Coturnix japonica: one gene and its partners. The protein of the gene in region 1 binds, or shares a complex with, the protein of each later gene. Links are inferred from orthologs where the notes say so. Each region holds a gene or a part of one and is shown in the gene's direction. Other genes may lie near its edges.

What was found.
Region 2: TBP (region 1) and TAF12 share a complex: the UniProt entries of both Homo sapiens proteins name them as parts of the TFIID basal transcription factor complex. The link is inferred for Coturnix japonica from reciprocal best matches to the Homo sapiens genes TBP and TAF12.
Region 3: TBP (region 1) and TAF8 share a complex: the UniProt entries of both Homo sapiens proteins name them as parts of the TFIID basal transcription factor complex. The link is inferred for Coturnix japonica from reciprocal best matches to the Homo sapiens genes TBP and TAF8.

Annotation. Positions count from the first base shown.
Region 1 is NC_029518.1:36,560,576-36,570,365, reverse strand, and holds the start of TBP (TATA-box-binding protein), read left to right. Parts: upstream 1-3,092; 5' UTR 3,093-3,202; intron 3,203-4,977; 5' UTR 4,978-5,166; coding exon 5,167-5,220; intron 5,221-6,263; coding exon 6,264-6,598; intron 6,599-7,216; coding exon 7,217-7,304; intron 7,305-8,443; coding exon 8,444-8,535; intron 8,536-9,504; coding exon 9,505-9,672; intron 9,673-9,790. UniProt on the Homo sapiens protein: The TFIID basal transcription factor complex plays a major role in the initiation of RNA polymerase II (Pol II)-dependent transcription.
Region 2 is NC_029538.1:2,025,709-2,035,498, forward strand, and holds the start of TAF12 (transcription initiation factor TFIID subunit 12), read left to right. Parts: upstream 1-4,736; 5' UTR 4,737-4,812; intron 4,813-5,783; 5' UTR 5,784-5,855; coding exon 5,856-5,924; intron 5,925-6,413; exon of another isoform or gene 6,414-6,523; intron 6,524-7,174; coding exon 7,175-7,426; intron 7,427-8,001; coding exon 8,002-8,079; intron 8,080-8,369; coding exon 8,370-8,484; intron 8,485-8,655; coding exon 8,656-8,744; intron 8,745-9,307; coding exon 9,308-9,343; 3' UTR 9,344-9,790. Other genes in the region: discoidin, CUB and LCCL domain-containing protein 1-like, read left to right, coding at 137-274, 666-717, 793-865, 1,003-1,136, 1,240-1,277, 1,366-1,560, 2,111-2,232, 2,310-2,478 and 5 more. UniProt on the Homo sapiens protein: The TFIID basal transcription factor complex plays a major role in the initiation of RNA polymerase II (Pol II)-dependent transcription.
Region 3 is NC_029541.1:4,763,597-4,773,328, forward strand, and holds the start of TAF8 (transcription initiation factor TFIID subunit 8), read left to right. Parts: upstream 1-4,481; 5' UTR 4,482-4,505; coding exon 4,506-4,769; intron 4,770-5,723; coding exon 5,724-5,880; intron 5,881-6,183; coding exon 6,184-6,282; intron 6,283-6,501; coding exon 6,502-6,564; intron 6,565-6,914; coding exon 6,915-7,039; intron 7,040-7,336; coding exon 7,337-7,484; intron 7,485-7,863; coding exon 7,864-8,006; intron 8,007-8,466; coding exon 8,467-8,610; 3' UTR 8,611-9,732. UniProt on the Homo sapiens protein: The TFIID basal transcription factor complex plays a major role in the initiation of RNA polymerase II (Pol II)-dependent transcription.

The DNA of each region.
Region 1 (9,790 bases):
CACCCTGCCTGATCTTTCACTAGCAATACAGCTACAGTTACAATATGAACACTTGATGAAAAAGAAGAAATTGTATTTAAAATTATAATAGGCCTCAAATGCAATACCAAAAATACATTTCTAAATACATTAAGATAGCTACCTTTAATCTTGCTTCAATAATCTTTGTGAGTGTAAGGCAGTCACCATGGAAGCCACTGCATCCAATGACTGTTCGCTCTGTTCTGTAAAACAAAGTTTAGTTGTGATTTTAGATTTAGCACGAACTATATCAGCTTCTTATAAAGTAAGTTATGAAAATATCAAGTGTATTTCCAGCTTCTCAAATGCTATCAGAAATAGTTGTCTAAAATGTAGTAGTAACAGGTATTCCAATAATAAAAGCTGACTCATTAAGTGCAGGATCACACAGATGTTAGTCTTCAACCCACTGATTTCCACAGCAAAGCTTTGGAAAGAAAAAAATACCTTAATTTCTTCAAGCACCTCTAACTGTAGCTATTACCAAGCCGTGTCATGTTACTCAATATGTTTTTACTCCATCTGGCCAGGGAACTGCTTTTAGCTGGTGAGGTAATGTTTATGATGTAGGTGATTTTTGGTGTCAGCACAACAGTGGTGACCTCATTGCAGCCTTTCAGTACCTGAAGGGAACCTGTATCCATGAGGGGAGTGAACTCTTCGAAAGGGCTGACAATAGCAGGACACGGGGAAATGGTTTTATGTTAAAAAGGGAAGATTTAGGTTGGATGTTAGGTTAGGGGGAAGTTCTTCACTAGGAGAGTGGTTAGGCCCTGGAACAGGCTGCCCAGGGAGGTTGTGGATGCCCCGTCCTTGGAGGTGTTCAAGACCAGGTTGGACGGGGCCCTGGGCACCTGATCTAGTAAAGGTGTATGTTTGGGGCCCTGCCAGGCAGGGGGTTGGAACTACATCTCCTTGACGGTCCCTTCCAACCACGGGTCATTCTGTGTTACTGTATCTGCTGATGTACTATACAGTATTAGCAGTTTGATCAGTTTCATAGCAAACATTTAACATTAATTAACTGGCACTAACATTTAAGCAATAACTACAGGAACCCACATTTGAATTTTAAGTTCTATAAATCTATGAAAGCCTACAAACACTGACATATTGTCCTGGTTTTGGCTGGGATAGAGCTCACTTTTTTCCTAGTAGCTGCTACGTTGCTGTGCTTTGGATGGAGGGTAACTGTTGGTAACATCCATGTTTTGGCTGTTGCTGAGCAGCATTGCACAGAGCCAAGTTGCTTTCCCAGCTTTTCACACTGCCATGACAGCAACTGAGGCCATGAGGGTGCAAGGGAAGCTGGGAGATGGGACCAGGGCAGGACAGCCAATCCGAACCAGCCAAGGCGATGTCCCATACTGTGCAGGGTCACGTGGACATGATAAAGTTGGAGAGAGCTGATCAATGTCGCAAGGAGAATCTGATCTAAGGAACTGGCTGGGGCATTGGTCAGCAGGTGGGAGAGCAATTGCCCATGCCTTCCATTCTCTTTATTATTATTTCCTTCAATTTTCTGACCTATCAAACTACTTTTGCATCAGCCCATTGGTTTACCTTGTGTTTTTTCCAGTATCATAGTCTCGTGTGGGTTGGAGGGCCCTTAGAGATCATTGAGTCCAACCCCTGGGATTCGAGCCCCTGTGTAGCAGAGCGGGCATTCTACCACCTTGCACACCACAGGGGGATTCGAACCCAGGCTCTCTTTCACATCCCACTGCAGGTGGGTTGTGGTGGAAGCAAGCAATACCTGCCCAGTGCTTTAGCTTCAATGAGGTTAAAACACCAGCACACATTTATAAGTTTAAACACTCAAAACCACTTCAATTGAGATTGCCTCAATTTCTGTCACCCGAATTACCCAAAGCCATCCTGGGCTTCTACACCTAATTGTACTAAAGCAATCTTCCACTGGACAGTAACAGAGAATCAAAGATACTACACAGAGTTACAGGCTCATTCTTCCATTTCAGTCCTTACAAGGTGCAGACTTACAGTTTGTAGCATTTGGGGCTGTCCCGGCTGTGAATTGCATAACCTTCACTCAGCCGTGTGTCGGAGGCAAACAATGCTGAAAGTCTTCCCCAGCGATCGCCAGCACAGTCCTTAAAGAAGAGCATTCATATAATTCACACAATTGGCACAACTTAGTTCTTAGGCAAGCGATGAACAGCCAGAAGAATAACAGAATGACCCGGGTTGGAAGGGACCTCAAGGATCATGTAGTTCCAACCCCCCTGCCTGGCAGGGCCACCAAACATACACATTTACTACATCAGAGTTGCCCAGGCCCGTCCCAACCGGGTCTTTGGAACACCTCCAAGGACGGGGCATCCACAACCTCCCTGGGCAGCCTGTTCCAGGGCCTAACCACTCTCCTAGTGAAGACAGAAGGCAAAACGACAACGAGCAAGACGCAGCCCAGCTCACCTCCCCCCGGCCCATCCCTGCCCGCGGCTCTCACCCGCCGTTGAAGGTGTATGGCGAGAAGCGGTACTGCACAGGTCCGCCCAGCCCATATCCCGGCTCCGGCCTCAGCTCGGCGTATCGCGCTGCGGACAGCATCCCTACGGCACCAGCCCTGCTGTCTCACGGCAAAATGGCGGCACCGGAAGCGAGGAGGCGGCGCTCTACGAGGCACAGGCACCTCGTCTCGTCTGCTCTGGAGGTACCACGCCCCATCGGCGGTGACCACCCGGCCGCATGGAGCCGTGCCAGCCTTCGGGCGGCAGGGCCGGCAAGCACAGCAGGCTCTCGCCATGAGCACACCAGCACACCGTGTGCCCCGGTGGTGCAGTAGTAGCAATGCCGCTTTGCAACACCGCAGGCCCTGGGTTCGAATCCCCCCTGTGGCGCGTGTGGTAGAAGTGCCGCTCTGCTACACAGAGGCTCGAATCCCGGGGGTTGGACTCGATGATCTCTAAGGTCCCTTCCAACCCGCACCACACTGTGACACTGTGAGCACGGCACCACACGCTGTGCCACGAGGTGCGAGTAAAGCCAACACCCCGCAGACAACAGCCCGCAGGCCCCGCCCTCACTCAAGATGGCGGTAAGAGGGGCGGGGCGGATTCGTGGCGGAAGTGACGCAATCGAGGCGCGCCGGCGGCGCGGTCTCGGGGCGCAGCCTGTGTCCCGCAGTTGCGGTGCTGGTTGTGGCGGCGCCGCGCGGCAGGTACCGGCCGTTCCGTGTCCCGCTCCGCCCCGCAGCCCACACGGCGCGGGCTGTGCCGCTTATGGCGGGGGGGGTGGCCGGGCCGAGCCCGCTTCTTACTCCCCGTGGGCGCCGCCGTAGGGTCGGGGTCCTGCGGGCGGGCCCGAGCGGCGGGGAGGGGGGGAGGGAGAGAAGGGATGTGCGGGGTGAGCGGGCCGCGGGCCGAGCGGAGCGACGGGAGCGATCCCGGTACGGCCGTTGGTGCCGGGGGCGTGATGGCGGCGGGACGCGGTCACCGCCTCCCACACGTGACGGCGGGCGGGGAACGCGGCGGCGGCGGCGGCCTTGGGTTCGGTACGGGAGCCGTGATCGGCCCTTGCCCTGCACGTGGGCCTGGTACCGGGGCTCGGCGGCTGGGTTCGGTGTATGTGGAGTCCGCGCGGCGTGTTGGGCCTGAGGATGGGCTGCCCGTGATGCTGGGTAACGGCTGGGCCCCTTCTTTGCACGGTGTGCAACGTGGAAACGCCTTTGGGTAAAACAGCGGGTGGTTAATGTGATACTGAGTGCCTTAAGGACGAGAGAAAGATGGGCAGGCTTTCTTCAAATGTTTCAGTGCTGTGCCTTAAAATGGCTTAGGAGCTCTCTGTGTAAGTGTGCAGTTAAGCTATAAATGAATAGGAAAAATATCTGATAAAAAGGCTTAGCATTTCATAATATAGCTATGCAGAGAAGGAGCTGGGTGTTTGCAGACAGCAGGTTGGCCATGAGTGTGCCCCGGTGGCCCAGAGGGCCAATGGGATCCTGGGGTGCATCAAAAAGAGCATGGCCGGCAGGTTGAGGGAGGTGATCTCCCCCTCTGCCCTGCCCTGCTGAGGCTCCATCTGGAGCACTGCGTCCAGTTCTGGGCTCCCCAGTTCAAGGCAGAACAAGGAGTAGTGGACACAAACTGCAGCATGGGAAGCTCCGTACAAATAGAGGAAGACAGAGCTGCCCAGAGAGGCTGTGGAGTCCCCTTCACAGTAGGTACTCAAAACTTACCCAGCCACTCTCCTGCTGTAGGGATCCTGCTTTAGCAGAGGATTGGGCTCAGTGATCTCTGGAGGTCACTTCCAGCCCTTACAGCGCCATGAAAGCATTTCAGTTCTCTATTTGTATTGTTTCTTTCCATTGCGTGCCAATAGAGGTACAGGTCTTTGTTTAAAAGGCAAAAAACAAACAGTAAGTGAAACAACACCCAGAAGAATACTTTCGTTTCATGCATATACCTGGAATTGGCTTTTAGTTTCCCTTTTTCCCCTCGTGAAGTACGTCATTGCAATTCAAAATACATTAGTGCTTTGCTTTATGGAAGTAGATGGGAGGAGGTTTCCTAAACCTGAGTTTACCAGCAGTATTTTCATATAGCAAAATCAAAAAACAACTTTGGAAGGCCAAGCCTTAACTCTGCCCAGGGGGAGATGTGTGAGCGAAGCGTGGCTTTAGGCTCGTCTGTCAGTAGCTGGTGGAATTCAGTTCTGAAAGTCAATGCTTTCCCATCTGAAGCGATGCATGCAGGACTGGAGCTGTGTGTGAAGGAGGCCTTCGTTGTGGAGGCGGCTGCTCACGTGCAGTGGATGTTCACCAGGGGCACTAGGGCTGTAGAAAGAGATTGCTTTATATAAGGTGCATGGGTGTGTGCGTGCGTATGAGTGTTCTCGCATATATTTGTATGTGGGCATTTCTTATCTAACAGACCAGCTGATAAGCCTGCTTTTGTTTAAATGTTATTCTCAAGATATTACTTCTTTTCTTTTCAGGCCCTGTTTAGTGTTTTAGACTCGCAACGTGTTTTCTCTGGAGCTGATGTTTTCCTGACACGTTTTCAGCTTGGCTAAAAAGCTGCTTTGCTGGAATGCTTTAGAGGGTCAAAAACCCTTTTTGGTTTTAAATTAATTTCAATTAATTGAAGGAAATATTTCTGGCCTCACCAAAGAATAACCGGAATCATGGATCAGAACAACAGCTTGCCACCCTACGCTCAAGGCTTAGCCTCCCCTCAGGTAAAAAGGGATGATGTGATATGCAAAAGCGGTCTGAATTTCTTTGTGGGAGTGTTTTCTGTGTCTTGTATGTTATTTCTTTGTGTCTTTTTTTGTTTGTGTGTTTGCAGATCTGAAAAATTCTACTGTATATAACTTACTCAGTAAAAAGCAGAGATGAAAAACCATTTATATATAGATAGATAGATAGATATGGGTATATATAGATATATATCCAGAGGTTTAAGAAATACACTGATATATTTATGGTTTTCATGAAGCTGAAACATTACTGGCATGTTGAAAATAAGAAGGTTCAGGGGAGACCTCATTGCAGCCTTCCAGCACTTGAAGGGAACTTGCAAGCAGGAGGAGGGGGGCTGACTTTTTAACATGGTCTAATAGCAGTAGGACAACGGGGAATGGCTTTAAACTAAAAGAGGGAAATTTAGGTTAGATGTTAGGAGGAAATTCTTTATTCAGAGAGTGGTCAGGCACAGAGAAGCCTGTGAAGCTTCTCTTGGCCAGAGAAGCTGTGGATGCCCCATCCCTGGAGGCATTCAAGGCCAGGTTGGATGGGGCCCTGAGCTGGTGGGTGGCAGCCCTGCCTATGGCAGAGGGTGGGACTGGATGGACTTTCCCTTCCAACTCAAGTCATTGTATCATTTTAACTTTGTTCATTGCTTTTGGAATCCTTTAAATTGGCTTATATGTAATGGACTACAGTTGTGCTGTGAATGCATTTGCATTCTAATGATTGCAAGTAGGAATTGTGGGTCAAAGTTGAGACGCACTTTCCAGGTATTGTAGGAAACGTACCAGCGTCGCTGACTGGTGCTGAGAAGTGTTGGAATTGACAGATCGATTGAGGTTGTGATTCATGTTGTGTAAGAACTGAATCTTCCAAAGGTTTTCTGTTTTTAGCAAGTTAGTAATATACCGTGGGCTTGATGTGACCAGCTAAGATGATTTATTCTTAGACTCCTACTACTTCAAGCTTCTTCTCTTTAAAACAATGTTAAGTCAAAGCGTCTGTGGTTTCTTTTTCATGTTTTCTTCTGCAGGGTGCAATGACTCCTGGAATTCCAATTTTTAGCCCAATGATGCCCTATGGCACGGGACTGACACCGCAGCCTGTCCAGAGCACCAACAGTCTGTCTATCCTTGAGGAACAGCAGCGGCAGCAGCAGCAGCAGCAACAGGCAGCACAGCAGTCTACATCACAGCAAGCGACACAGGGAACATCTGGTCAAACTCCTCAGCTCTTCCACTCACAGACTCTTACCACAGCCCCTTTACCAGGAACCACACCTCTGTACCCCTCCCCAATGACTCCAATGACTCCTATAACTCCTGCGACACCGGCATCCGAGAGCTCTGGGATAGTGCCACAGCTACAGTGAGTGTGTTGTGTGCTTGTACACCGTGACATCTCAGGATGTGCTTTAACTCGAAATATCCAAGAGCAAAGCCACATAAGTAATTGTGTACTGCATTTTGATAGGAAAGAAGGTCTTGAATATTTATTTGTATGAGTAGTGCAGAACATTGACATTGTAAACTACTTTTTACAAGGGTGGATAGTGATAGGACAAGGGGGAATGGTTTTAAACTGAGACAGGGGAGGTTTAGGTTAGGTATTAGGAAGAAGTTTTTCACCCAGAGGGTGGTGATGCACTGGAACAGGTTGCCCATGGAGGTTGTAGATGCCCCATCCCTGGAGGCATTCAAGGCCAGGCTGGATGTGGCTCTGGGCAGCCTGGTCTGGTGGTTGGCGACCCTGCACATAGCAGGGGTGTGCAGAGAATTTTGTTGGTGAGATAACATCTGTAATGGAATTGGAAGGGTTGAAAGGAAGTACTGCCCTAAAAGAGGAGTTTCCTGTCAGTAGGAGAGATGTCACTTAAGCTTGCTTGGTTAAACAAATGAAAAGAAATTAGTAAGTATGTTATGATGGATAAGATGCGTGAATTCTTTAATTTACTTTTTAAAATGTATTTCTCTGAACTATTTTCAGGAATATTGTGTCCACGGTGAATCTCGGTTGCAAACTTGATTTAAAAACAATTGCGCTTCGTGCCCGAAATGCTGAATATAATCCCAAGGTAAGAGAAGTGTGTTAGAATGTATCCAGTAACAGGTATGTGGGCAGAACATCTCTGGAGTGTGCTTTGCTGTAAGTAGCTGGATTGAACAGGGGGGGTTTTATGGCCTCGCTCCCCCTCTAAGCTCTGTTCTTTCAGATATTCCCCCAGTACTGGCTGTTGCTGTCTGTTATAACAGCGATGCTGTTAACAACTGCATGTGAGTAAGATGCTCATGCAGCTCACATTTGAGTGTGCGATGCTGGCTGTTATGTTAGGGGTAGGTGGCTGTGCAGAGCTTGTAGGCTAGAACGATCAATATGAAATGCTGGATTTTCACAGCAGAGAGAAAAGAAGGGTTATGTAACGCACTCGTGACTTTTAGTCAGTGCATCCTTTTATGAAACAAATAGCTTGCTTGGCTGTGTTATTTAAGCCACAGTTTGACAAATGTGTTTTTGGGTAACCCATGCTACTACCTTCATTATGTCAGCAGAACAGTAGTACATGAGACTGCATAGTGAACTGGTCCAAGTTTAATACAGCACAGAGATTTTGTGTGTGATACCCACATCAGTTTGCAGTATTTGTTTCTTCAAAGAGCTTAAGAATGTTTATAAATGCAGGTAGAGATGTTACAGTATGTAAAATAAAAAGCTAGAGCTTACTGGGCTACTGTATTCTACCATAGTAGTTAAGGTGAATTCAGTTTACATGGAATATGGCTTCTGACTTCCCAGTGGTTCTGTTTGATGACACTGTAATGCTACCCAAATGTTTAAGGTACAAAACCAAAGTAGACCATAAAGTATTTGCATAACCTTCCATCCTGCTTAGAACAGATTGAATTTCAAGACGTGGAGGAAAACTTGGTGTTAAGATCATTGCTGTCATTGTGTTGCAAACATTAGTAGTATTTGTGTCGTGTATGTGGTAGTTAGAAATGAGCTTAGTAAAAGAGGAGTGCAGTACTAAAAATCCTTCCTGTTCAACTCTAAGTGCATTTGAAACTAAATAAAGCTTGCTTGAATGAAGAGTGTTCTGCAAATATACTTGAATCTAATTATTTCTTTGCAATGGCTACTTAGATTATGCAAACTCGGTTTTAATGTACTTGTTACATTTGTGTATCACTAATAATTTCCATGCTCACATTTCAGCGTTTTGCTGCTGTTATTATGAGAATAAGAGAACCACGTACTACTGCACTTATATTCAGCTCTGGAAAAATGGTGTGCACAGGAGCAAAAAGGTAAGCTCAGCTGGTAGGAGCAAACTAATTAAGGCCATCTTTTCTTTTGAAATCACAATGCTTTAGAAATATAGTTTCTTTTATACGGTGTTTATATACATGTTGTATATGTATACCCATATAAAATGGCTATGCACTGTAACTGTTTAAACTATAGGGGCAGTGGCAGGATAAGCACAATTTGGTGTTTGTTTCATTTACTGTGGGTCAGGAGCTCCAAGTCTCTGGTACCTGTAGTCTGATCTGTTCTTAATGGGATCACTGAGGCATCAGACTTGAAAACTGGCAGGAGAGAAATTCTGCTGTGAAGTCCTTTGGGAATCCAGAAGGAATAACCTAATGAGCAGAGATCGTGGAATCATGAAATAATTTGGGTTGGAAGGGACCTTTAAGATCATCCAGTTCCAATTCCCTTGCTATGGGCAGGGACACCTCCCTCTAGATCAGGTTGCTCAAAGCATCCAGAGAGCATCCACAGCCTCTCTGGGCAACCTGTTCCAGTGTTTCACCACCCTCACAGTAAATAATTTCTTCCTAATATCCAGTCTAAATCTATACTCTTCCAGTTCAAAGCCATTTCTCCTCATCCTGTCACTACACACCCATATAAAAAGTCCCTTTCCAGTTTTCCTGTAGGCTCCCTTCAGGTACTGAAAGGCTGCAATGAGGTCTCCTTGGAGTCTTCTCCAGGCTTAAGAACCCCAGCTCTCTCAGCCTGTCCTTGTAGGGGACAGAGTAGAGTTTTCTGCTTCATAAACAGTGAATGCAGTGTTAAAGTGTTCGGGACCTTGGTACTACAACTGAGTGTGCAAACCAGTAGTAGTTGTTCATTTTGGATGTAAACATTTTGCAACTCTCCTGCAACACACGCAATGTTTCTTTCCCAGTTAAATATTTGTGGCTTGGTGCTGTTTGCTTGAAGTAGTGCTTAATAAGGGAAATAAGCTGGCTCTTTTTTTCTCCCTTCAGCGAAGAACAGTCCAGACTGGCAGCAAGGAAGTACGCAAGAGTTGTTCAGAAACTGGGTTTTCCTGCGAAATTTTTGGATTTTAAGATTCAGAACATGGTGGGCAGCTGTGATGTGAAGTTTCCTATCAGATTAGAAGGATTGGTACTCACACACCAGCAGTTCAGCAGGTAAATGAAGGTTTGCCTACCTTTCATTCTTGCTGTGTTGTGACTAGCTTAGAGCGGCATCTGTTTAGATTGTTCCCTTACACCAGAGAGGATGCAGCATCTTTGTTCCTATCCTAGC
Region 2 (9,790 bases), on another chromosome or scaffold:
TCACCTCAGTGTCACTTTGTGGCTGTGGGGTCACCCTGAGCATCACACGCATCCGGGGAGGTGAAGCCCTCGATCCGGGTCCCTGCGTCCACCCCCAGGGACCCCAGTCCTCCCCACAGCCCCCTCCCTCCTGCAGGGCCCTACTGTAGGAATGCTGTCCCTGCCGCCCCGCTGCTGGTCACCAACTCCAGTGCTGTCACCGTCCTGTTCAACAGCACCAGTCACCGCTCAGGACGGGGCCTCCTCCTGTCCTATGCCAGCTCGCAGCACCCAGGTATGGAGGGGGTCTGTCCCCTGTAGGTGCTGACCCCCCAAGCTGTGTCTCTACCTGTATCAGGGGTGCAGGGAGGCCTGTGCCCACCCCAGCTTGGCTCCCGTTGCCCCCAGCCCCCTACAAGCCCCCATTTTCTTTGCCTGGGGGCTGTGGAAGTGGGAGAGGTGATAGGGAATGGCACCCTCAGGGCAGCTTGGGCACCAGTATCAAGCTCTGCTGCAGACAGCACTGTGACCAAAGAGACACCATGTTCCCATAGATCCAAAGGGAAAAACCTACCCCTGGAACAGGGTTTGGTTGGGAAGGGGACAGAGATGGGGTGCCCCATGGAGAGCTGGGTGCTGTGGGGGTCCCGCACATCCCCTCACCTTGGGCCATCCCTGCCTTGCAGACCTGATCTCCTGTTTGGTCAGAGGTACCCACTTCTCCCAGGAGCACGTCAGGTGAGCAGCCCCCAGCATCACTACCCATCCCCAGCAGCACTTGTGTCCCCATCCCACTCACCCTGTGCATTTCAGCGTGTACTGCCCTGCTGGCTGCAAGGACATCGAGGGGGACATCTGGGGCAACACGAAGGACGGCTACCGGGATGTACGTACAGAGCCCTGCTCAACTGGGATGGTGTCACCCACGGGTGCTGTCTGTCACCTGTCACCTCCATCCTGATGCCACTAAATGGAGGGAGGTCAGGGGGCTGCGTGGCTGCACTGACCCCAGTCTCCCTGCAGACCTCAGTGCTGTGCAAGGCAGCTGTGCACGCTGGTGTGGTCGCTGATGAGGTGGGTGGGCAGGTCACCCTGTCCCGTGTGAAGGGGATCACGCTCTATGAGTCGGCCTTTGCCAACGGGCTGCACTCCAAAAGGTGGGCACGGGGGTCCCAGCCGCCTCCCCTCGGGTGTCAGAGCCCCCCAGGGTGGCTTTGCTGGGGGGCCCCGTTCCTGACCTCCCCCCTTCCCTTCTCACAGGGGCTCACTCTCTGAGAAGCGTCTCCTATTCCACAAAGGTATTTTCCCATATGTGAAACCATCGTTTTGGCTGCACGAGGAGCCCGCGGTGCTGTGCAGGTCCCCAGCTGTCACCTCACCTTGCAGCCTGCGGCGATGCTCTGGAGGTGGCCGCCTTCAACGCCTCATCCTGGTGGCAGGAGGTGGATGCAGTGGGGCAGGAGCGGAGCTGGGCAGCTGAGCGGGCAGCGCTGGGCACCCCCAGCCCCTCCTGGGCAGCAGAACCCGGCACCGACACCGCCTGGCTGGAACTGGACCTGGGGACCCGCAGGAACATCACAGGTCAGCACAGTGTCAGCTGGTGGATGGGGATGGTGCTTGTCCCCATGTCACCCTGCTTGCTGCCAAGGTGGGACCCCCACACTGCCCAAAGAGATGCCCAAAGACATTACAGACTTACAGCCCCCCCCTCCCTCAACCTTTAACTCCCAGGAGAGTTTGGGTGCTCTCTGTGCCATCCCTGCTCTGCTTGTACTGGTTGTACTGGTGCAAACTGGGATCTGGACGGTATCTGTCCTTCCTCGTGGCTTTTTCCCGTCCCCATTTTGTTCCTTCCCCACTGCAGCCATTTCTGGGATGAACAAGTCAATATTATGCTCTTGCATCTGGTGCCAACGAGCTCCTTTTGTTCAGCCAAGCCTGCCGCCAACGGGGGCTTTGTGCAGAGGCCGGCAGGAAGAAAATGGGGACATTGTGAGACTGGGGGCCGGAGGAGGGAGGGAGGAATGTAACCGGGGTTTATCGGCTCCTCGGGGCAGAGCGGGGGATGTGGGTGTCCAGGAAGGAGCTGTGGGGGGGTTGGGGTGATATAAGGGCGCATCCTGCCCGACAGGGATCATCACAAAGGGATCTGCTGAGATATATGACTTCTATGTGACGTCCTACCGGGTGTCCTCCAGCCGGGATGGGAAGAACTGGAGACCCTACAAGGGCAGCAGCGGCCGGGAGGACAAGGTGGGCACAGGGGGGGCAGCAGGGTGGGTGCAGCCCTGGGTCAGCAGCTCTGCAGCCATCCCTGCCATCCCCAGCAGGTCTTTGAAGGGAACGTGGACAGCCTCGGGGAGGTCTCCAACGCCTTCATCCCCCCCATCACAACCCGCTACCTGCGCATCACACCCCACAGCTGGCACCAACGCGCTGCCATGAAGGTGGCCCTGCTGGGCTGCCAGATGGCACGTGTCCGTGCAGCACGGCCCTATGGTGAGCGTCCCTATTGCCCATGGGGACCTCCATCTCCCCATGTTCCCCATCACTGACAGCACCCGCTGTGCCCTGCAGTGCCCAGCATCCCAAAGGAGATCCCCATCCACATCCCCATCCCCACCAGCCGCCCTCCTGGCCGCACACCCATCCCTGGCATTGCCCTGGACCCTGAGAAGGCAGGTGGGTGCCACATGGGGGCTGATCCTCACCCCATTGACAGCACCGGGTGGGCTCTCAGCACCCAGGGGACCCCCATGGGTGGAGGTGTGGGATGTTGGACCCAGGTGCTGATGCTGCTCTCCCTTCCCAGACTCCACGCTGCTGGTGATGCTGCTCATCGGTGTCTTTGTCCTCCTCTGCTCCAGCTTCCTGCTGCTGGCTTTCCTCTGCCACAAGAGGAGGTGGGTCCGAGATCATGGGGCTTCTATGAGGCTGCGTTAAGCTGCTGGCTGCATCCTGGTGGCTGAACCCTCCATCACAGGCATCCACTCACCTGTGTTGTTCTCTCTCCCTTTGCAGGAAGCCGACCACCAAGCTGAACTGCGGGCTCCCAAAAGGTAACAGCCCCCACTCAGTGTGGGAGGCACCGAATTCAGGTCAGATGCAGCTGGTTGAAGGCTCAGGGCTCCTTCCTGCTCATCCACTCTAAGGGCACCCCCATCCCCAAAGGGCATCCAGGGGCGGTGGAGGCTGGATTGAGATAAATGGGGGCTTCTGTTCTCTGCCCAGGGCAACCCAAGCAGGAGATGAGCCAGGTGTGCTCCCTGGGGAGCCTGCCAGCCCCCAGATCCACGCTGCCCTCCTTCCCTGTGGCGCTGGGGGACCTCAGCCAAACCCACTCACCAGGTAATGGGAACACAGGGGCCACAGTGATGGGGCAGAACAGACCCACATCCCCCCTTACTGCACCCTGAACCTCTGCAAGGGGAGGACATGGCAGTGTGTGGGCATCACAAGGCAGCACTGGGATCGCAGAGGCACAGGGAGGTGTGGGGTGGGTACCGTGCTCCACACCAACACCTGAAAGCCAGGGCTGGACGTGGGGCTACAAACTTAGCATGGCCAGCCCCATCTCAGAGCTGTGTTACCCCATTGCAGACTATGCTGAGCCAGACGTGGTGCAGCTGAGCCCCAGCAGCCAGTTGGGCTCGTCCACCTTCAAACCCCCCCCAGATGAAGGCTATACCTTACCACTGGTCGTCAGCCATTACGACGTGCCAGGTAAACACCACGAATACGCGGAGCCTCTTCCTCCAGAACCCGAATACGCCACACCATTCGGTGAGCCCGAACCCAGCGGCACCCGATGGACCCACAGCGACCCCAAATGGACCCGCACCGACCCCAAATGGACCCGCACCGACCCCAGCCGTGCCGGCTCTCCATCCTCCCCCCCATCACGGTACGTTGCCCCCCCTCTGCAGCCCCCTGTGCTGGGCTCAGCCCCACCCGGTGCAGAGCGGACTGCTGGCCCCAATGGGGGTGAGGAGGTCGGTGCGGATGGACCCGGCTCAGATGAGCCCACAGACTGTCCCTGCTCACACGTGTACCACGAGGCCTGGTGAGGCTGCACATACAGCTGGAGGCCTTCGTTGTGTGGGGGGGCACAGAGGGGTTTTATAAGGAAATGTGCACTAATATTTAAATATATCCATATCTATATATACATACATGGATACAGAGCGATCCTCCATCAGCTGTGTGGACACACAGGTGGGTAGAAGCTCTGGGTACAGATGGTGCCTGGTTCCATACAGCCCCAACCCCATCACATACAGCCCTATGGGGGGGGGGGGTCCACTACAGTCTCAGCCCCCCTATAGACACCCACTATAGGGACCCCTACTCTTATCGCTGCCGTTCACACACCGCCCGGGGCGCCGGAACAGTCGGTTACCGGCGACCCCCCCCACAAAAATTGTGCTTCCGAAATCTCTTGATGTCGATTCCGCGGGGGCGGCCGCAGCCCCCCCGTGCCACGCACGGCAGAAGCCCTTTTTAAAGCTCCGCTATCCCGATGCGGCATATTACGAGCAGCGCAATCCCCTCGAGCTCCGGGCGAGCGAAGATGATGTGAAATACCTCATCCCCCACCTTTCCCCCTTCATATCGCTGCGCTTTTGGCTGTTTTCACATCTTTTTTCACTCAAAAATCTCGTTTTCCCGCCCGCCCCGTTGCTCTGGGAGCATTATGCAAATCACGCGGTGCATGCTGGGTTGCTCTCAATCCCCGCCTCCTACAGACCCAACATTGCGCACGCGCAGTGCGTCCCACGGCGCCGATAGTACTTCCGGCGGCTGGGCCTCGGTCCGCCCGCGGGGCATGGGGAGGTACGGGGCTGTATGGGGTTATATGGGGTTATATGGGGTTATATGGGGTTATATGGGGCGATATGGGGTTATATGGGGTTATATGGGGCCGTACAGCCGGTACCGGTGGGGCTGAGGTCGGCTACGAGGGGCTGCGTTGTCCTCCCGGTGATTTGCCGGGTCTTGGTGCTGATTGAGGCCTCCCGATGTAAGGAGAGCACGGGGCGGCCCGTAGGGATTGTAATACGGGCTGTATAGGGCGATATGAGCCGTGTATCAAAGGGCTGGGGGTGAGCCGCTGGGTGTCCGTGTGGGGTGTGCAGCATTGAGATCCATGGGAGCTGATTGAGAGTGATTGGAGGGGGATGTGGGCTGATAGGAGAGAAAGGGAGGGAGATCTGAGCTGATAACAACGGGATAAAGGGGAATGGGAGGAAGATCTGATGTGATAACAGGATAAAGGGGAATGGGAAGGAGATCTGACATGATAACGACAGGATAAAGGGGAACTGGAGGGAGATCTGAGCTGATAACGATGGGATAAAGGGGAATGGGAGGGAGATATGACATGATAACAACAGGATAAGGGGGAACGGGAAGGAGATCTGACATGATAACAACGGGATAAAGGGGAATGAGAGGGAGATCTGATGTGATAACAATGGGATAAAGGGGAGTAGGAGGGAGATCTGACATGATAACAACAGGATAAAGGGGAATGGGAGGGAGATCTGAGTTGATAACAACAGGATAAAGGGGAATGGGAAGGAGATCTGACATGATAACAACAGGATAAAGGGGAGTGGGAGGGAGATTTGACATGGGAATGACAGGTTAAAGGGGAACGGCTTCAAATTGAGAGGGAGAATTGGGATGGATGAGCAGCACATCCAACAGGAGCTCATGGATCCAAAGTGCTTCCTGTTAATTGGGAATGGCCAAAGTGTTCCCTGTTAATTGGGGCTGGGTGCCAATATCTGGTGTTCCTGTAGGAGTCCTGTAGGACTGGGAGTGATGTGGAACACAGTAGTTTAAGCTGCTGACCCCAAGGAAGGCTTTGGGAAATGGCCTCCCCGTTCGCTGGGCCCACAGCAGTGGCTGATGTAATTAAAGATCTAGACACGCAGATAGCTGTAAGTAAACGGAGTGAGGTTGCCTTGAGTTGGCATGCAGGGCCTCACCGTGGGTGTTTTGCCTTCAGTGATCTTAACAGCACCCAAAAGGTGCCATAAGATCAGGAGAATGATGTGCAAAGTGGCTTTATACCAACGAAGTGCATCCTGCCCAGGGTTTCAAATCATTGCTGTCATGGTTTTGTAAAGCCATGTAACAGGTGTTGGCTCCTTCCCTGCATGGATGGTGAGGATTCCTGCTTGGTGGATGTGGATATAAAGCATGGGAGCAAACAGCCTGCAGGCAGCCCCTGTGCAAACCCAGGTGTGCAATGAAACAGCGCTGAGGATGCTGAGGTTTGAGCATAAGGGCCTTGTGCCATTGGGCTCAATGTAAAGTCTCTTGTAGGAGAGCTCCGCATGGGTTTGTGTTTGTGAAGCACTAAAACAGCCGCTGGCTGAGCCTGATCTCTGGTTTTGTTTTCTGTATGGATTAATCCGAACTAACAGCTTGCTCTGCTGAAGGGAAAACGTGTTTGTAGCTGAGACAGGAGACGCTCTGCTCATCACTGTGAGTGCATTGCACACAGCAGCTCTGCTCCGTCCATGCAGCCGACAATGTGAGTAACCACAGGCACGTGGTGGTGACCCCAGGAGGGCTGAGCTGCACGTTGTGCTGCCACAACCTCCCCTGTTAGGTTTCCTCACTGTGGCTTTTGGTGTCCCTCCATGCGAAGCCACGTCTGTGTTTCCTCTCTTGTCGCTGTTCCTTAGAGCTGGAGCTGAGCTCTGTGTTGTGAAGATGGCTCTGGATTTCAGGAGGGGGATTGCTGCAAAAACTGAGACCCGCAGTGAGGGGAGCCCAAGCATGGTTGTCTTCTGGTTTAGGCTTCTGCCTCCTGGGTTTGTGGACTGAGCACAGACAGGGCTCGAGCCTGCTGTGCATTGCGGGCTGGGCTGTGTCCTTAGGTTAAATCTCAGCTCTGGTCTCACCCTCGAAGCCTCCTGCAGTACGTGTGAGGTGGTTCAGGCAGGCCCTGCTGTGAGGCTGAACACATGCAGGATCCAGCAGGGTGAGGAGCCGCTGATGTCAGGGTGCTGCATGCAGCTGCTGTGCTTCTCAGGGAAGACTTCATTGCCCATATACCAGGGAATGTCTTCTAAACGTTCAGGTCCAGAGACCCATCTATGAACTCTGGGTCCTGTCAGTACTTTGGATCCCCCTTTAGATTCCTGCTCTGTTTGCTGACTGTCTGTCTCCCTCTCTCCAGTTGATCGGTTTGGGTCCCCACAACCCCAAGAAGAAGCAGGACCTCGACAAGCTTTATGATCTAAAAGCTAAAGCCCAACAGATTATGAACCAGTTTGGCCCATCTACCTTGATCAACCTCTCCAACTTCTCCTCCATAAAGCCTGAACCTGCCAGCACTCCCCCTCAAAGCTCCATGGCAAACAGCACCGCCGTGGCAAAGATGCCGGGTACACCCAGCGGAGGAGGGCGGCTCAGTCCTGAAAGCAACCAGGTAAATTCATCCCCAGCTGCAGGGGGGATGCTCACAGCTCTCCCTGCTGCCCAGCAGTGCTGGAATTCCTGATCTATTCACATATTTGGGCTGATAGGATGCTGCCTTCTGCCCTGCAGTAATCCAGCACTCACGTGTGGCCGTTTGCCATTTGAAATGCTAAAGGTGATGAGCTTTAGAGCAATGGGAATGCTTCCTTTGTGTCCTGAACACAAAATTAGTCGCTGGAACGTTGCTTTAAAGATTTCTCACTATGTCTTTGTCCTCTCTTGCCGTCAGCCCCGCTTCAGACAGGGGCATTTTAGTGCTGGTTTAGCACAGGAGAATTAGTCCTCTTAACCTGCTGCGCTCTGCTCACTCTGCTTTCTGTTCAGAGCAGCCAGTAGTGCTTGAAAATGACTCCTTAGCACCTGATGTCTCTTATCTGCCCTTCCTGGGCTGATACCACGTGTCAACACGTGTGACTTGTGTCTCTGCTTTGTAAGGGAGGAGGTCTTTTGTGGCTGTGCAGGGTGGGCAGTGATTTGCTAAAGCATCGCAGTGAACGGTTCCAATTTTCTCTCTCACTTACTCAGGTTTTAACCAAGAAGAAATTGCAGGACCTGGTGCGTGAGGTGGATCCAAACGAACAGCTCGATGAAGACGTGGAGGAGGTAGATACCAACCCATGGCAGGGGCTGCAGAAAGAGCAGCTCTGGGGTTTCTCACAGCCCAGTGACCCTTTGCCCAAAGCAGGGAGGGCTGGTTTATATTACACTGCCTTATTCTCACGTTCATTGCAGCCTTCAGCCATCCATGTCTCTGCTTCCCAGTGTTCAGAAAGGCTTCAGGGAAGCAAAAACACCCTTGAAACATTATCTTCGGAGGGTTCATTTTCATACATTCTCATAGTTTCAGCTGTTGGGTGCTGCTGAGACCTCTTTTTGTCCTCGTTCTGTGGCAGATGCTGTTGCAGATTGCTGATGATTTCATAGAGAGCGTGGTGACAGCTGCCTGCCAGCTCGCACGGCATCGCAAGTCAAACACCCTGGAAGTGAAAGATGTCCAGTTGCACCTTGGTAAGGAGCTTTTGCCCTCACCTGAGAGGTGGGTGCACAGCCCACTGCTGGGGTGACAACCCATGAGAAGACTCACTGCTCTCACCATAAAGGAATGAGGGGATAATCTGCCCCTAAACCCATCGTCTCCAGGTGGGTTCAGTGCTCTGGCACGTGCTCTCTCTCTTCCAGAGCGTCAGTGGAACATGTGGATCCCGGGCTTTGGTTCTGAAGAAATCAGGCCCTACAAAAAAGCCTGCACTACAGAAGCTCACAAACAGGTAAGGAGCCCTTAGGAACGTGCTGAGAATTGCATGGTAGAAGCCTTATGTAGGTAATGTGCCCTTGGACTCCTGGTGAATCCGTAACCTCTTCTGAGTGGAATTGCAGGTCTCAGCTCCCTACCACCATAAGGTTTAAGAGCATGCAGTTGTCTGTGATTTCAGCTGTGACTGCAGCTGGTTTTTTTTCCCCCCTTAATTTTGTTTTAACTGCATCAGGCAATTGCTTTTGAAGCATAAGGCAGGAGGTTCCCTGCAGGAGCTGTTGGAGTGCATGGGTGTTATTGCAGCTCCTCCTGAAGCTCAGATGGGCTTCAGTCCCTCCCCTGGTGCTGCTGCTCTCCTTTATCACGCAGCCTTTACAGCCTGGGGGGCAAATTGGGGCAGCGCAGACGTTTCCTTTTCCTCCAAGACTCTGAGATTCAAATGAAGTTGACAGACCTGTGTGGAAACAAGCCGGGCAGTGCCCTGAGAGAACCCGAGATGGGTTGTTCTGCACATCTGCTGTTCAGGTTGCATTGCAATGATCCGAGACTCAGCTTCCCACCTTCTTCTCCTTGCAGAGAATGGCACTGATCCGTAAAACCACCAAGAAGTAGAAGTGGGAGAAGAGCTCGGAGCTGCCAGCGGTGCATTTTGGGATCTCTGCCTCTCACTGCAGCCTCTGCGACGCCACCCATGGGATATTATTTGTTCGTGCTTTACAGAGAAGCATCTATTTTTTATTGACGGTGCAGCAATATCTGAGTCGATGAGGAGATCTGCCAAAACCATCCTGTTCCTTGTTCTCCCCCTTAAGAGCGCAGCGTATCTCAAAGCAAAGACTTTTATTTGTGACTTGAAAGTGGTTTATCATATAAGTGATTATCTGAGGGACAGAGCATTTGATTGTGTGTATGTGTGTGTGTGTGGGACAGTATTAGAAGCAGCTGTAGAGGTTTTTGTTTCCTCCTTCATACCCCTCCCTGCTCCCGTACTTTGTAATGTCAGTGTTTATATAAAAATACTTGCGTTTGTTTTACATGAATAAAGAAATTATTCATCTA
Region 3 (9,732 bases), on another chromosome or scaffold:
CAGCAACACATCCTGAACAGCTGTTGCCACCCTCTATCTCTGCCTCACCCCTTGTCCCTGCTGCTTCTGGAGCCCCCAGAGAGACAAACAGCTCAGCCTGGCTAACAGGAGGCCCTGATGCTACACCACCAGCCTGGAGTGCTGAAGACCCCTGGTGGGATTCAGTCCTGGGTTCCCATTGGGACGGATGCATTTCCTTGAAGTGCTTTGCTCAGGAATGCCAACATTCTTAACACAACAGAATTTAACAGGTATCTAAAGGTGATGGTAACCCCACTCAACACCACTCTCGCAAAGCTAAACAACTGCGTGAGCCCCAGCTGAGGAGTGGGGGCTCTTCACAGCCCACCCAAACAGCTTTCCTGTCCTGCAGAAATGAAAAGGGCTCAAAAGAGGGATCCCAAGCCCAGCTGGGATAAGCAAACTTGCACAACTGCAGCTCAGAAGCTTATGATCGAATGCAGGAATTGCTTCTGCTGGCCCCATAAGCTCCCTGCCTGGGGATGACACAGATGGATTCACCTCGTTCAGCTGGAGGAGACAGCCCCAACCCAATCCAGAGAGCAGCAGGATCCCAGACCCCTGCTGGATCTGTGCCTGGGGGAGCAGGATTTCTCCCCCACCCTTACCCTGGAAGGGCAACACCCAACGTGTGGTTTCCTGAAGCAACAGATATTTGTCAGAGAAAGCAGTAAGGAACACAAATGTGGTAAGTGGCCTCTGCTGAGCTGTGCAGGTTGGCAGTGCTCATGCTTTGAGGTAAGGCTATCACCCTGTTAGGCCAGCAGCAACACCCTGCTCTTTGCAAGATATCAAAGGCATGGGCAATGCAGCTCAGGCTCAGAGCAGACATGGCTTCCACTGGCAGGCTGCAGCCACAGAGGGAAGCGTGCAAAAAGCAGACAGGCACATCATCCTGGCCCAGCTCTACTGCTGACATCTGCCTTACCAGTGACTGAACCTACTTGTTGCAGCACCTCCTCCAGCAATGTGAAGACATCTACAGGACAGACAGATGCCTGGGGTGAGGAGCAAGGCTCCAGCACCAAGATGCACATTCTGCTGTACATGCCCTTGGCTCTCTGCCACTAATTGCTAAAATACTAATTTACAGCATATTCCATAGCAAGGGACTGCATCAGTGCTTGCTGCATCCAGCATCTGGCACACCTGAGGTAGCTGCAGTTTGCCAGAGCAAGGGTGGTGACAAAGAATGACAGCTTGTGGACGGGACTGGGCAGAGATCTTATGTTCTCCAGCACAGGCCCAGCTGTATCACCTGTAAGGATCTGGAGGGCACAATATCACCACACCTGACACTGTTCCTCTGCTTCTCTTTCAGCAAACTCTGCATCTGAACTCTACATCTGTTGATCCAGCAACCAGCTCAGCCTATCTCCTCATCACCTTCGGGCTCTAAGGTTTGAAGAAAACAGAAGGAACAAAATGCAGAACATCCACTGAGTCATTGATGAGGCAGGAAAAGCTGACCTGGAATCTGCAATAGTTCCTGGCAGCAGAGGCTCTGGACAGCCTGGAAGTGTGGGTTTACATGCTTGCTGGATTAGATACAGCACTGACTCAAACACAACTATGAGCTAATGGGATGGGAAAGAACAGTTTTTACATCAGCTAAATAGCATTACAATAAAAAGTCCAGTGGATATCAACCACCCCGGGCCCACTTTAATCAGTAAAGATGTTCTGACACTCCAGTTAGGCCAAAAGAAAGCTCCTGGGATCTCCCACTGGGGCTATTTGTAGTCTTGATGAAATGGCTTCAAGCTTTACTCAGAACTCCAAGGATGGAACACCTAACTCACGCACCGAGATGGATCCTGCACTCTGGAAACTCCATCTTACACACATGCAACATAATTTTGAGAAGATTTATGTGAACTCCAGAAGTGACCCAGCAGAGCTGCACAGATCCCCATCCCATGAGCCCAGGCAGGGCAGTGCTTTCTGCCAAGACATCAGCCTCCTCCACCAGCAAGCAACAAGTCCACAGGGTATTACTTCACACAATCATATTGCCAACATTAACACCACTGTTGCTTTAGAGAGGAGGTTATTTGTCAATAGTAGCAAAGCAGCAACAGCCTCACTGCATTCAGGTCATGATCTCTGCAAGCAACAGGCCAATGTCCTTAGGAGAAACATTCTCAGACGTACAGCTTATTCCCTCCTTGCCCTTGTCCTGTGCATCAAGTGCTTGTCACTATCATACTATGCAACAACCCTTACAATGCATTAGTCAAGGAGCTTGGGGGCTTCACTTTTCAGAACCACATGGGCACAGGGAAGGTTTTGGTGACATCCTGACTGCTGTAAGGGGGCTGTAAGAGTCTAAATGAATTCGCTGCTAGCTATTTTGGCTTCTGACATAAGCCAGTAAGAGCACATGGTGACAACGTGCCCTCTGGTGGCAGTGGTGCTGGGGGACAGAAGCACATGCAAAAGTTCACCCCCACATCGACCGCAGCAATTTCCACCTACCCATCTCTGTTGCTGCTCAGAAACACCAGGTTCAAACACCAGGTTCCCACACCAGATCCCTGCAGCCCCCCCTTCACCAGCACTGCCCAGTTCAGAACTGACAAAGCCTTGGGCTTTCCCTACCAAAGAGTGGACAGTCATCCATTCCCATCATTCTTTACAAGGCTGAATTTCAACAGGCTTCACAGCTTCTCCCCCCTGGGACCGTCAGTATGAGAATAACTATTCAGCTGTAGCTCTCTGAGGTTTAATGTTTGTCTGGGGTGACACAATAAGGACTTGGGATTCCCACCTCCTACATCTTCTTTGAAATAATCTGCATGAAATTCTGTAAAAACACGTGAGCTTCTTTCCTTTCTCAGTCTGAGACCGATCTGAAAGTTCTTCTTGTTGCAAAAGGAAGCGTTCCAATCTCTGGGAAAAAACCCCATGCTCAGGAAGGCGCACAGACTCCCACCATCCCACATCTCCTTGTTTTGCTGCCAGCTGACTGATTTCACAGCACTGCAGAGGAAGCTGGCACCATAAACTGGCAAACGTTTCCAGCAGCAACATCGATTCCCACTCCACATGGGCTCCAAAATAAGGATGTCACCCTCCACCTATGGACACGAACAGCCAGCATGGTTCTGCTCGCTTCCAGATTCCTTCCCTTCCACATCAGATCCCTGGCAACATCTTTCAGCACAGCCCTGAAGCTCTCCTTGTTTCACTTCACCCCTTTCCTCTTGGCTGGCCAGTCTCCTCCGGTGGCTGCGAGCAGCTGCTGCTTCACAGACACACAAGAAACCCCGACATCACTGAGCAGCCAGACCTTTATGGAAGCATTTCCCACTCCCACCCTGCCAGGCAAACGGAAGCCATGCATAACAGAATGATGTACCTGTGCCATAAAACAGGATGCAGCACCTGTGATTTTAGGGACTTCTGCACATATTTAGCTGAGGAAAATTCCACCAGGCTCTGGATTTTCAGTTTGTAACTGAGTTTAGAAGGGACTGCAGTGCTCTGGTTAGAACCCAAGGGCTCCAGCTGACACCACCACCAATGTTATGTTATGTACTGTAACATCAGCGGGTGCACTTTATCAGTTCTGAGAGCAGCTCACAAGGCATGGCAGTACTTATTGATGGGAAAAAACGTGCAGAGGAGCAAAGAGATTGTGTCTGGTTATTCAGCAGGCTGGATGCAGCCAGGACTGGAATCCAAAATAACACAGTGCTCTGCACCAATAACTAGAGCACCCAGCAGCCCTCACTGCAGGGCTTCCCCTGCTACCCCCTCCTCAGAGACACCCTGTGTACAAAGAAACAGCTTTGTTCTGAAGTGTATGATACTGTGGGATGGGGGAAAAGTATTCCCAAGAGTAAAACAAACAAACAAAAAACCCACAAAGCCAACGAAAACCAACCGGGCAGCACAGGGCTGGGATCTCATTTATCCAACAGCTCCCACGTGTGAATAAACCAAGTAATGCAGCCACCCAACATGAAGCCTGAGCCTGTTCTCAGCAGCTTCACTCGGCTGCTTTGAGCTCCCAGCTGCCACATCCCTCCATATAACGCACATCACTCCGCCCCACAATCAACCAGCAGGTCACAGCTCCACCACACACAGCGCTTCCATTCCCAGCTCCTTGTGCTCCCTCACACTCCGTTAATCACTGCCACCAATTCCAGCAGCCAGCACAGCACACACAGCCCCGAACACAGCGAGGGACCGACCCCGCCGGGCACAGCAGAGCTGGGTGCTGACACCGCCACAACAACGGCACCTTCACACACCGGCAGCTCAGGCCCAGGCCGTACTATGGCAGCAGCTCCCCGCTCCATCCACCCATTATGTGCCTCGTACCTTCACCATCCACCAGCTCCGCTGCCCGGTCCCGTCCCGCTCCTGGCTGTTGTTTACTCTCCACACGGCTCCGGCATCGCGGGGCGGGGCTGCAGGTTCTCGCAGCTCTCGGGGCATCGTGCAGCGCTGCCGGGCCGGGCCGCTGCCCCGCCATGGAGCCGCCGTTACCGGAGCTCATCGTCCCATCGTTGTTGTCCCATCGCCGTCCCATCGTTGTTGTCCCATTATCGTTGTCCCATCACCATCCCGTCGTTGTCCCGTCCCGGTCGCACCGCGGGGCTGTGGGGGATGTTGGAGCCGCCTACAGCCCCCACAGTGCAACGCGCGCCTCGCCGCACGGCCCCACCGCCCCGCACATGCGCACAGCGCTCTATGGCTCCAAGATGGCCGACACGGCGCCCGGCGGTTCCGGCACGGTAACGGCGGCTCCTCGTCGGGCCGCGGGGTCGTTGTGGGAACGGCCCCTCCGGGCGGAGCGGCGCGGCCTGCACCGGGAGCGGGACACTAACGGCTGCGGGCTGAGCGCGGCGGCTTTAAGGGGGAGCTGAACGGAGGGAGGCGCTGATTGGCTGCATGGCTGCGTGGGGGCGGGGCTTGGCGGCAAGCTGTGATTGGTCCGAGCTCTGATGCAGCGTTTAAAGGGACAGAGCGACTATGGGGGAACGTGTGTAAATATGGGGATATGAGTATGGACAGGCACTGCTTGTAGGGCGCTCCTAAGGTAAAGCCTCCTATTTATTCGCATGGAAGCTGCAGCAGGTACAGCACAATCATACTGTGTGATCAGGTGTTTGCACATCTGGAAAGCACTGCTGTTTAACACGGTCACCACCATTGCCCATATTGGCACTGGAGAAGAGCTGCATGCTGCACTCATACTGCTGGAGTGACCCACTGTTATCACTGGAACACGCCGCACTGTGCTCACAGCGGCTGCTCTGTCTCCAGAAGCATCTGCCCTCATCCAGGAACACAGTGATTCTGTGCTTCATTCACACTCCTTCATTACACACCGTTATGTCCAGCTGCTGCCACCTGTCACACAGCAATGTAATGTACACAATGTAATGTACACAATGTAATGTACACAATGTAATGTACACAATGCTGGCAGGAAGGTTCAGCCTTTACCCCGCCTCCAACATCTAACCCTGATGTCGACATCATGAAATAGGAGGCATTACTTTCAGAGCAGTCCTCATGTGTGTATGTCTGTACATGTGTGTCTGTGTAGGTGGGTCTGTACTGTGTGTAGGTAGGTGCTGTGTATGTACACCCGTGATGTGTGCAGGGACAATGTGTGAGCACAGAGCGAGTGCTGGCAGCTCGTCTGGGGCTCAGGTTCAGTGTTTTGGGGTCTGTGTCCACAGCGGTCGGGCAGCAAGCACACGACCACGCCAGCAGATAACTACTACCTGGCCCGAAGGAGGACACTGCAGGTGGTGGTCAGCTCCTTGCTCACTGAAGCCGGCTTTGAGAGCGCTGAGAAGGCTGCGGTGGAAACACTGACAGAGATGTTACAGAGCTGTGAGTGTCGGGTGCCACCAGATTTAGGGCAAAATCACCTTGAAATCGGTTCACATTTGCTTTCGCTCTTTCTGTTTTTCGTTTGTTTGTTTGGTTTTGTTTTAACTCTTTAACTCCCGGTGCTTTCCATGATGTTATGATGTGCAATAACAATAACAAAAATCATAAAACCATGACACTAGATTTGATCAAAAGTCAGGTGTTGTGCTGACACAAATGTGTGTTTGCTGCCTGAAATGAACATGGAATGTGAATAAAATAAAATGAACATGTAATGGTTGTTGGTGGTTTTTTCCCCTCCAGATATTTCTGAAATTGGAAGGAGTGCAAAGTCCTACTGTGAGCATACAGCCCGAACACAGCCCACGCTGTCTGACATAGTTGTTACTTTAGTGGAGATGGGTGAGTAGCTGACTCATCTCACTCATTCCACATACATACAGTGGGTGTTCTGTGTTGCCATGACAGTCTGTTCCTGGTGTAGTTGTGTGATGTCGGCTGTTCTGGGTTGCACACAGAGGCTCCAGTATCACTGCTGTTGATGTAGTGTGTATGCACACAGAGTACATTATTTTCTTTCTTCTTGGTGTGATTCCATTTTTCTCTTCTTCTGTATTTCAGGGTTCAATGTTGAAACACTTCCTGCATATGCAAAGCGCTCCCAGAGGATGGTGATCACTGCCCGTATGTGAGAAGTCCTTTTCTTGTGCAGGAAACCATTTGTCTTTTCTATCTGCTGGCATCCAGAGAGCTGCTGCTTTTCTCATGGATGGTGTAGTCCATTGCTCCGGGGCACTCAGTTTGTGTTAAAGATTCCTGTAATTATGATGTAGTAGGTGAAGGAGAGTGTCTGTCCTTTGCCAAACCTGTTGCTTTTGCTTCAGTATCCTCATTGCACATGAGAATCCTCAAGGTGGTTCTCCTTGTGTAGGAGGGGTCATGTAAGCCTTGTTCCCTTTTGGGATGCCAAATACAACCTGAAACTGTTGCTTGTGTCATATGCTCATGTAGTGCATGTGCTTTTTTAACCATAGCTCCTGTGACAAATCAGCCCGTGACTCCCAAAGCCCTGACAGCTGGACAGAACAAGCCACATCCATCCCACATCCCTGGCTATTTCCCTGAGTTTCCAGATCCTCACACCTACATCAAGACACCAGTGAGTGAAAAAAGACTTTTGTGCCATTTGGTTTCTGTCTGAAGTCAGTAATGTTAGGAAAGGTGCATGTGCATTCTTATTGTAGTGCTGTTCCTGAACATTGTTTCTGCTACCTTGGCACAATGCTTGTCATTTGCATATTGTACTTGCTCTAGTTTTATAGCTGATATCTGTAGCTGTTTGAAAACGTGCACATGTTGAAGGTCAGTGCTTGCCTGCATCCTATTAGTGTTTTGAACTTGATCTGTCTTCACTGAATCTAGTGACTGTACTTGTTTTGTCATCCCTGCTCTACAGACGTACCGAGAGCCAGTGTCCGATTATCAAGTCCTACGGGAAAAGGCAGCATCTCAGAGGCGTGACGTGGAAAGAGCTCTCACCCGCTTCATGGCTAAGACAGGAGAAACACAGAGTCTCTTCAAAGATGATGTTAGCACATTCCCATGTGAGTTATCTTGGAAACCTGTGCTGTAAAGGACAGTTCTCTAACAGAGTGTACATCTGGTGTTCTTGTGATTGCAGGAGGTGGGCACTGAGGGATCACATTGTGTTCAGCCTTCTGAAGCACGGGAAGGGAAGGAAATGAGGGACTTTCTATTTTAAACAGGCATAAAAACCTTGGGTTCATAAATGACTTGTGCAAAAGTTACAGAAATTCAGACAGCACTGGCTTCTACTCTAAACAAATTCCCCCTTTCTTGTGATGGTGGTGAAGGCTTTGACTGATACATCCTATCGTTCCCTTATCCCAGTGCTGTCAACTCAGTGCTGAGTTGATGATCTGTCTCCCTTCCTGCTCACTGCATGCTTTTCCCCAACACTAGTGATTGCTGCCAGGCCATTCACCGTACCCTACCTGACGGCTCTTCTCCCCTCGGAGCTGGAAATGCAGCAAATGGAAGAAACAGATTCATCCGAGCAAGACGACCAGACAGACACAGAGAACCTGCCCTTGCATATGAGCACGGTACGCCCACCCTCAGGTCTCTAGGGCCTGATTTTCTTAAACATATAAAACCTGGTTCTTTGCCTTCCTTGCAGCTGAGCATAGGGGGTGGAAAATGGCAAAGTAGGTTGCATTTTACCGGATGTAAATGACTAACATTGTCATGGTTGTTTAACTTTCTGCAAAATATGTTGTACATTGAGGTTATCTAATGGTGGATCACGAGCTTTCAATGCAACCTTTATTTCTGTGCTAGAGGAGAGAGGATCATCACGCTATTCTATGCTGTTCTCAGAGGGGATCTACTTATATTAAAAATCTGCAGTTCTCACCTTCAGTGCAGCTTTTTGTTTGCTTCTGTTTATCTTGGCTGTTGATTATGTTTCTCCCATGTGTTTTGTGGTTTGAACTTCTAAGCCCTGTTAAGACTAACTTTGGTTATTTATGCTTTTTTTTTTTCTTTTTTTCTCTCCTGTGTCAGGATGATTCAGGACCTGAAAAAGAGAATTCTTCAGTATTACAGCAGAACACCTCCTTGTCTGGCAGCCGGAATGGGGAGGAGAATATGATAGACAATCCTTATCTCCGGCCAGTGAAAAAGCCCAAGATCCGCAGAAAGAAATGAACTGTAGTCAGCTGGCTGCTAGAAGGAAGAGGAGCCCATTTCTCTGGCTGTTATGAGTAGTCACCTCTGCTGCTGTGGGTATGAGGCGTGGAGCAAGACAGAGGAGGCAGTCTGACCGAATGGCAGAAGGAGAGGAATGATCTTTGTCTGCCTGGCAAACTACACTGTCATCATTGTTTGCAGTGCTCCCTCTTCCTCCTCTGCTTTCCTCCTAACTGGGAATGCTCAGTGGTCAGTTGCCTTAAAAATGGTAAAAGCCACTGGGTTATAGATGGGAATTGTCTCATTTGCTTTGGTTTCTTCTCACTGTTGAGGAGGTTTACTCTCTTAAGAGGCACAGGACAAAAAGATTCTTGCTGCTCTACAGAACACAAAGACATCATTTGTTTTTGGCTGCCTTACAAGCTAGAAAAGAAACTTCTGCAGTGAACCCTGTTTGGCTTTATAATCTGTGGTGCATGTATGAAGAGAGAGAGAAAAATCCCACAGAGGTTTCTTTCTTTTGATTGTTGGCAGGTAAAAGCAAACACATTTATCAAAGAGTGAAGTGTAAATACAGAGCTAAGATGAGAGTTATTCTCAGCTTTTCTGACTGCAGCTGCACTTCCAACTTAAAAGTGCTGAGTGTGGTGTTTACCCTACTCTGCTTTGAGGTTATTTTCTAGCAGTACCAATGGCAGGATTCAACAGCTGCCTCGGGCTCTTTTCTAGTTCTGTTGTTAGGTTCAATGCAGCACAAGTCCTTTGAGAGTTCATGCCTTCACCAGCTGTTTTGAAAGATGCTTGCTGCAAAGCTTGGAATATAGAATAAAGCTGTATCGATTACAGTCTGCAGGGCTGTGCTATTGATCATGCTTTTAAATTTTGTCTTTGTTCAGATATGGGCTTTAATCAACAAAAGTTGCTCTTTTTTGTTTCTTTTTTGTTGTTGTTCCTTTTTTTCCTTAGATAAGGAACTTTGTTTCAACTGTGAAAATGAGTGCTGGTGGGATTGCTCTAATTGTTATCCAGTTTTGGAGGCCTTTCCTTTACTTTATGTTCAGTCTTTACTTAGGGAAAATATACACAGATATATTATATATAATATCACCCAGAGAGGAGGAAGAAGAGGAGGAATTATTT